Xenopus tropicalis: one gene and its partner. The protein of the gene in region 2 purifies or fractionates together with the protein of the main gene of each other region. This does not show direct contact. Links are inferred from orthologs where the notes say so. Each region holds a gene or a part of one and is shown on either strand. Other genes may lie near its edges. The genes, in order: atf1 and atf2.

Region 1 (4,583 bases), on a different chromosome or scaffold from region 2:
ACTCAATGAAATGCAAATCAGTTGCTATCTTTTATTTAAAGTTATTTTTTCGATTTTCCTTTTGATGTGCTATCTGCCACTGTTAAAATAAACCTACCATTGAAATGATACTGTTCTGAGACTTTTCATTTCTTTGTCATTGGACAAACTTACAAAATCAGTGAGGGGTCAAATAATTATTTCCTCCACTGTATATAAGTTATACCATCCAAATGTACACTCTGTGGCCAAGCGGTATCCAGACACAGTGGCAGCTGCATCTAGTGAAACTTCGTACCCCTAAGTGGTTCTCATATTCAGAAAGAAATTAATATGCTCTTACATTTCTTGGAACACCTGCAACAAACAAACCAACCTAGCGACCCCATCTATACTTTCAAGCAATTAAAATATCCTAGCAACAGATCAATTAAGTCTTCATAGCAGAAAAATTCAAACTATGATTTTTTTAAACTGCAACTCCCAAATTCACTGACAGCTAAAAGTCAAAAGGTATGCCGAGAGCTGGAAATGAAAATCATGACTACATTATTTGAAGGTGTGGCATAATAATTTTTACTTCAGGGACCCTGTTTGTTTGTCAGGGTAAAGGAAGAAAAAACACATTTTAATATGTTGGGAGAAATGTAAAGCAATGGCAATGCAAGTCTGTACCCATAGGAGAAACTGAAAGCAAGGAAAAATAGTCTTTAGCCATGCTGTGGGCAGTGCGTCAAAGTAGACTCTTTGGCTAGCACAGTCCTAAGTTATGCAGATTTGCTGTGTATTATACTGACAGATACAGACCCACAAAGTAAAAGTGAACAAATAACAGTGGTGCTGCAGAGTGATGTAAGCCCCAACAATTACAGATATACATATCACAGTGCATATAGGTATTATTTGCTATTAAACACCATTACACAGATACAACTGTATGCTTGCTGTTATTAAGCAGTTTGTTTACAACTGACAATATTATTATATTGATGTAATGCTAGCTTCTGTTTGGACTACTGTTGTCCTCTCAGGAAGAATCATGGCTAAATACCCTAAAGCCGCTTATCATTCATTTTAATGGTATATGCTCTGTCAATGTTGAATGCTTGTACTTAGTAATGTGTACTACAGGGTGTCTGAGTCATCCCTGCCTAATCTACGACAGGCACCATGTTTCCAACTGCTTGCATTGAAAAAAAAAATCAAATGTTTGTGATTGCAGAGGGACAGAAAACATACGCCCACTGGCTTTCAATGTAGTTGCAGTAGGAATTTAATGCGGCAGTTGGAAGATTGTGCGCCCCAACTAAAAACTTCAAGATACTACTCAAGAAAAGGGAAAGCCAGTCAGCTGCTTCTAAACGTTGGTAACAGTAAGCCATCTTGAAACTTGTCATATAAGTATTTCATATTTCACCTTGTTTAATGTTTTCTCGCCAGAGGTGATATCTTGAGAAATTGGCAAGTAAGTGAGTCTTCAAGGGTGGGCTTTAGTGCAACTGAAATATCAGAGGCTGGATAACCTGAACAAGATAATAAAGGAAATTCATTTGTTTAATTTCCAGTTGTTTCTACAAGAAAATATTCTGCTGACACATACATCTGAACAATAAAAAGCATATGGCAGGGCTGCTATACCTTAATTTCCAAATGGATCTTCAGAATGGAAATATTAAATGCTGAATGAATAATTTAATTCACTTGTACCCCAGGCTACTAGAAGGTTACTACTGGAGCCCCTGGCTATTTTAGCTTTGCCTAAGAAGCCATTCTTTCTCTGGCAGACTGACCATGAGCAGCTTCCTTACCATCCCTCTTAACCCATTGTTATATAATTCGTCATAAGGTGGCATAGTCTGACATGAACATGAAAGTAACATGCTAAACAGCATTGTAAATGGCTTAATGCACAGCAGAGACATTTGTGTCACAATAGATATTAATATAAACTCTGTGTTAATTTGGTAATACACTGCCAGATCCACTGGTTTGGTCAAGTTACCACATGAGTGAATCTGTGTCTGATTTGCCACCTAAGCGCAGGGCCTCATCTCAACATTAGCCCTGGGGCAAACAATCAGACCCAAAACTGGGGCCTACAGACATGAACTGCATCAGCACCGATTCACTCCTTGTCTAACAGGGTTGTTAAATCTGTCTAATACATATCTGGCTGATTTTTGGTAAGATATCTGTCAGACAAGCCCATCAGAAAGCCCCATACATGGGCCAAAAAGATGCTGACACTGTGGAGGGAGCAAGCTTTTATCGCCCTGTGTCTGACCTCCTTAAGTATTCTCAAAATCATAATTTATTGAGAATTTTGCTAAAAACATATGTAAGAACGTGGCTGAGGAACACACTGGACAGGTGCCAGTTGTAAAATACTTCTCAATGGATAAACTACCACTTCAAGATGGATATCTTAAAGTGGTAGTTTATCCATTGAGAAGTTTTTTTACAACTGGCACCTGTCCAGTGTGTTCCCCAGCCACGTCCTTATTATGAATATTTGGGACTGGCAAAAGTTGACCATTCATTTTACTGTTCCATAGCTTAACCTAGAAACAAAAACAAAATTTGTAAAATGTTTGTACAGAGATCTGTATAAGTTTTAAAGTATAATGTATTATATATCTGACAGCTATGTGAAGCAAAACTTGTGTGCCGTACATGCATTTATATGTAAGCAGAAAATACCAAGAGAACAAGCAGAAGAATTAGCGCTAAGGCATACCATACCTGTTGAGGAACGTGACAGATGTGAGCTGCTTGGAACACTGAAGAGACTGCGGATATCGGCGAGCTTCCTGTACTGCTGTTGCTGCTCTTGGAAGCCTCTTCCATAATAAACTGTTCAGAAATATAAAAATGTGTGTAATATTCTGAAGGTTACTGGTAATAAAGCACCAAGACAACCATTATATTCAACACATGCTTTTCAAAAGGAGTGGGTATTTTAACCAATAAAAAAAAAAAAAAAAAGGCAAAGCAGCATGTTATACAGGTTGTAAGGGAAAATAACAGCAAATATAGCTCTTTAATAAAACTAAAATTAGAATATGTATATTGCATGTGTACACAAAAAACACAAAAGCCACAACAGATAAAAGTTAAAATGCAAAATCATTAAAAATTCATCAGTTTTCATTTTTTACAATTTCTTTGAAACCCTATTGGTAGAAAGGTGGAAAAACAGTCCCTATATAGATAGATTTCTTTTTAATGACTAGCAAACAGCTGTAAAATATCATACACATTAGTATAGAAGATGATTTAAAAGTCCGTGGAATTATTCTGAGCAGCCAGCTGTAGTATAAATGTGGCAATACACTGAAAGATCCACTCATTTGGCGAGGTCAGTAAAAGAGCTTTCCCTACCTTGACATGGGCAATATTGGATTGATCCCATTGTTTGGCCCTCAGGCCAAAAGAAATGCATCACATTGCCAGGATAGAGGCCCTCATTCCGAGGGGATTTATAAACATGCCCAATCGTCTCGCTCATTGGTTGGATAGGCCTGGCCCGAGTACCCTATACAGAGGCCGAAAAACTGCCACTCATACCTTCAGCAGCTTTTATCAGCCCATGTATGGCCTCTATAAGAAGACATAGTATAACTAAAACCCCTCCTTGTCTTGTAAGCAACAAAGAATAATATATGCTGCTGGTTTTACTTTAAAATGAATATTATCTTTAAATAAAGACCACTTTATTAGAGCTCCCAATAGGTCCTCCTGGTCGCTGTCTGTGTTTCAGGAGTGGCAGTGTCTGCCAACTATACCTTCCAGAAGCACGGTAGGAGGCAGATACGCACAGTCCTGCAGCCACACTAGCAAAGACAAGAAGCTTCTTGGCTTGTGTATAAACTGCCCCTCCGTTCCTATTGGCGTAAAAATCTGTGACTGTAAACAGATAGGAGCAGAGGGGCAGTTTCCCGGTCTGCACTTATACGCAGGCCAAGACACTGCTCTGTGTAGCAGTAGCCTAAGACTAACTGCAACCAAATTTTGAAACTTTACTGAAAATACCTGGGACAGTACTTGGGCACTTTTCGCCATCTTTCCCTTTATTCCAAATGTTTTCTTGCATGGAACACATGTGCAGTTTTGTTATTTACTATACTTATGCTGGCCCAAAGCTCATCAAGGAAACCCTGAGAATGTAGACAAAGACGGCAAGGCAGCACACAACACAAATTTGCAGCCCCCCATGAATCTACCTTTTCTTGTCCTTTAATTCAGAATATAATCTACCGCTGTATTATCATAACGTTTAAATGTCTAGCTCTGATAGGTAATTAAAAGAGGGCAAAAAAGGTTTGTGCAGTTTTCACCTAGAGGGCTCTTTACAGTTTCTGTATTGGGCTTTAAAGGAATACTGTCACGGGAAAACAGGTTTTTTTCAAAACCCATCAGTTAATAGAGCTTCTCCAGCAGAATCCTGTATTTAAACCTGTTTTTTTAAAAAAACACAGAAAGATAGCAGCTCCCAGGAGGTATCAGACTAGCACTCAATAGTAAGAAATCCAAGTCCGGCTTGGGACAATGCACTGAGATGGCGCCTACACACCAATATTACAACTAAACAAATTCATTTGTTG
Region 2 (4,338 bases):
ACACGTTTTACAGAGTCCTCCATTCACATGTCCTTTGACTTCTAGTTCAAAGTGTTTGGGTTTCACATAGAGCTCTGCCATAAAATTTCTGCAGCCCTGACTAACTACTGTTACTGAACAACAGATAACATTTTGCCAACTAAGGTGGATCATGCTGTCAGTACAACATAAACTTTAAGATTTGATTGACAGAAAAGCATTCCAGGACAAGCTTCGCCTGAACGCAACAGAAAGCACCTATACCTACACCTACTTAGCCCTGAGCAGGGTTCAGCCCTTCTAGGTGGTATGTTTGTAAACACTGGAAGCTTGAAGCTCTGAGAGCCCCATGGCCCTGGTTGCCACTGTGGGACTGAGTGTGGAAGACAGGCAAAATACCAATGTCAGTGACCACTCTGCCTGTCTTTCCCCTGTAACATGGTGCTGAATTAGGGCAGACTGAATAAGTATGGGAAACTGGGTTCTTGCTGGTGCTTAATGACCAGCAAGGGAAGCCACCTAACCAATCCTGAGCCTTTCCTGGGCTGGTCTGGTTACCAAGGCAGCAGCATCTTCCTCCTGCACATAGAGCTGTGGACCAGAGCTGCTTGCCTCTCACAGCCTTAAATCAGTGCACCAGTTGTCTCACTGTGTTCCAAATGCATATTGCTCTTACCTTTAAATCATATACATATATACCATATATATTCCCTTGCTGTGTGAACTATGCAAGCATCCTGATATTTGTCATTTTTATCCCTGTCTTTATCAAAAAAATGTTGCCACTGTCTCTTTACTAAACATTAAGGAGTCACTCCATGTCCATTCAGACTTAAACAAGTGACCTTTTACAGTGTTTATGTCACCATAACACAAATCTGTGTGTGAAATTAATACTGTGACAGAATCTTCAATAAACAAAAAAACACTAAAATGATGGCAATTTCACTTGACCCTGGTTTGAACAAAACCCCTTTCCCTTTTAGTCAGACTGCGATATGAGGCTCTAAGGGTGTCAGGTACTGCTGCAACCAGGAAACGTAATTTTATGTTTGCTGGCACAAGTCTGAACTTTGATCCGGGAATAGAAATGACTTTTTATATTAGGAGCTGAAGTGGTGAAGGGAATATCAGTCAACCAACAAGAAAAAAAAAGTGTTTTTATTTAAGTATTTTTTTATTCGTTCGTTAACAAAGGAAGGCAGTGCGATCAGAAAAAAACCAGATTGAGAGTTGACCTAACACGACTTCCTAGCAGCCACCGACTGCGTACAACTCAGTTACGCCCACTCATCCCTCCCACAAGCGGCTGCGTAATGCGTCACTGCGCTTGCGTAGAGTCGTGACGCCAGTCTCGCGTGAGGAGACGCGGTGTTGGGCTTTTCTGTGGGACTGGGAAGCTGCTGGGAGCCTGCACTTGACAGCTTATCGGGAGGTGTAAGTAGCGTTGTGGGACTGCGGGCTGTGTTAGGAAAGGCTGGACTGTTGGGCAGAATGCACTTACATGGATTCCCGGGCCCCCCTGCTGTCAGTGAGCTGCAGACTTGGAAAGGGAGGGCGGGAGCTATGGTGCCTGGATGTTATTTACGCTGCTGCTGCTTGTTTTGTCACAGAGGTTCAAGTCCCTGTAAAGCCATTGTGGCTCTTCCGAAGTCTGCGGCTCACTGACAGCAAGGGTCCGATAATCCAAGTAAGAGCAGCACTGCCAACCCCCCTTAATTCCCAAACCCACTGGGTCTGGGACTGCCCCCCCCCCCCATGGGGGCCCTGTCTGTAAACCACAAAACAACACCACCTCAGGAGATCTTAAACACAACAAATCCCTCACCTATAGAAAGAATCCTACCAAGATTTCTGGGGGTGGTGTAAGTTGTAGTTCCACAATGTGTGGGGTGCATGACTGCCCAAGTATCCTAATATAAGCCCTTGGGTGCAATGTCATGGAGACTGGCCTTCACCTAATGGCATCCTTGCACTACAGTACATTCCTGAGAGGTTCCTATGGGCTCCTAGTGGGTGCAGCATTCTGCACCTTTGCTCTAATCCTGTTTGTTGTATCATTAGCCACTTCATTCCTTTTGTAAGAGCTTGCATGGATATCTTGACTCGATTTTCATGTGACCGATTGGATACAGTTTTACAATGAAACATGTTTTCCCTGTAATAATCAAATGTGATTGAGTTAAATGAAAATCGCATACAGTTTCAGCCGAATTTCGGGAGATTTGTGTTGGAAATTTCTGTATAGCTAGCCATAAACAGAAATAGTAAAACGAGATTTAACTTGTTTGGATTCCTGGCCATGCTGCCTGCCATTGACTTGAATGGTGCTAGTGGTAGGTGTATTTTGGTTCTGTGTTTTTGGGCTATGAAATAAAAACACAACAAGGGGTATCGTATCTTAAATCACCTTGTGCCCCTTTACTGTTGTTCTTGTTGGTTGGGAAATGCTTTAATGAGCAGGAGTAGTGTTTGGGGGGGGATTGAATCTGAAACAATCTTATATAAGATAAGAATGGGAACTGTCAAGCTTTCAGTCATATTTAGGGGAGCAAATGGTAATTCACCCCAATTCTCACCCTAACTGACCTTCAAACTGAGCCACCCTCACTACTGCCTCAAGCCCCCCCCAGAAAGGCCGGGTTCCATAGTATGTGAACCACTGCTATAAGGTATCACTGGGTCGGGGAAAGGAATATAAAGAAAAGAAAGAATAATAACTTGCGTCTTTCAAAGTGATTATAACATGGATTGCTGTGTTTGTATGCACGTATTGCTGTGACTATTAGGGCTGAACTACATAGAGAGATTTTGTTGGATATGGTGATTGCAAACAATCACATCTTATAAGTCTTATGTAGTTGTGCGGGTCTGTCAGTGGTGCAGCTGGTATAAAAGTGGAAATGCTGAGCTTTTATCTGACAAGTAGTCGGACAGACTTTTTCTCATTGAAATACACTGACATATGCAGATACATGAAAACAAGAACCCATCTGACTTTGAGAATCTGGTTTTGTAACATCCCACATAATTTAAACATTTTTAGAAAGGTCTTTTCAGTACATATTTGACAGCATACTGGTCTACTTTATATAGGGTTAGTTCACTGTTAAACTCTTTCATGTAGACAGGAATATACTGAGGCAATCTGAAATTGGTCTTCAGTTTTTTCCATCACTACTTTAATTTGGAATTTCAGCAGCTATCTGGTTGGTAGAATCCAATTTGCCCTAATAACCAGGCAGTGGTTTGAATGAGAGACTTGGATATGAAAAGGAGAGTGCTCAAAAAGATACTGTATATACTCGAGTATAAGCCGATCCGAATATAAGCCGAGGTACCTAATTTTACCTAAGAAAACTGGAAAAATTTATTGACTCGAGTATAAGCCGAGGGAAATGCAGCCGCTACTGCAAGTTGAAGTGATATCACCCCCCTCCCAGCAGCTAATTAGCAGAACAATGTGAAAGCATCAAGATAGCAGCTCCCAGTATATATCAGAATAGTACGCAATAGTAAGAAATCCAAGTGCGGCTTGGGATTCCCCCAGTTACATGGGAGTAGGAGAAACAATAGGTTACCTGAAAGCAGTCCTAATGTGTAGCGCTGGCTCCTTGTGAAAGCTCAGACTCAGGCACACTTTACTGCTGCGCTGCAAGTTGGAGTGATATCCCCCCTCACTCCCAGCAGCCAGCAGAACAGTGGGAAGGGAGCAAGATAGCAGCTCCCAGTAGGTATCAGAATAGCACTCAATAGTAAGAAATCCAAGTCCGGCTTGGGACTCCTCCAGTTACATGGGAGTAGGAGAAACAATAGGTTAGCTGAAAGCAGTTCTAATGTGTAGCGCTGGCTGAAAGCTCAGACTCGGGTACAATGCACTGAGATGGCGCCTACACACCAATATTACAACCAAAAAATACATTTGTTGGTTCAAGAATACAATTTTATTTGCTATGTAAACAGTGTAATTTAGATCTAAAACTATACCATAAAAATCAGTATTCCTTTAAAATTTACTTTGGGTTGTGTTAGAAAGTGCTTGGCAGCATCTATTACACAAACTCCAGCCTGGGTCTCCCACTTCAAAGGCCGTTGTGCCACACACCTACTGCTTTTTGTGCCACTCCAACCTGTTCATTAGATATATGCCTCATCCATTATTCGCACTGCTCACTGTGACACAGGGACAATTCCTGTTTTAAAATTTGAACGCATTTCCAGGCTCATGCTGTGTGTATAGAGAAGGGGGGACGGGACACTGAGCCCCCCCCAAATTGTTATGTGAAAGTTCAGTGCACATCAAACCTTGTAATTGGGTCATGTCAGGTCTTTCTTTGTTATTCCACCTTAAAGCGCAAG

What was found.
Region 1: the proteins of atf2 (region 2) and atf1 purify together in Homo sapiens (affinity purification with mass spectrometry; 3 studies listed by BioGRID and IntAct, with this or other methods). This does not show direct contact. The link is inferred for Xenopus tropicalis from reciprocal best matches to the Homo sapiens genes ATF2 and ATF1.

What each region holds. Positions count from the first base shown.
Region 1 is NC_030678.2:143,260,025-143,264,607, forward strand, and holds the start of atf1 (cyclic AMP-dependent transcription factor ATF-1), read right to left. Parts: upstream 2,836-4,583; 5' UTR 2,722-2,835; intron 1,503-2,721; 5' UTR 1,397-1,502; intron 1-1,396.
Region 2 is NC_030685.2:64,415,119-64,419,456, reverse strand, and holds the start of atf2 (cyclic AMP-dependent transcription factor ATF-2), read left to right. Parts: upstream 1-1,259; 5' UTR 1,260-1,416; intron 1,417-4,338. UniProt on the Homo sapiens protein: Transcriptional activator which regulates the transcription of various genes, including those involved in anti-apoptosis, cell growth, and DNA damage response.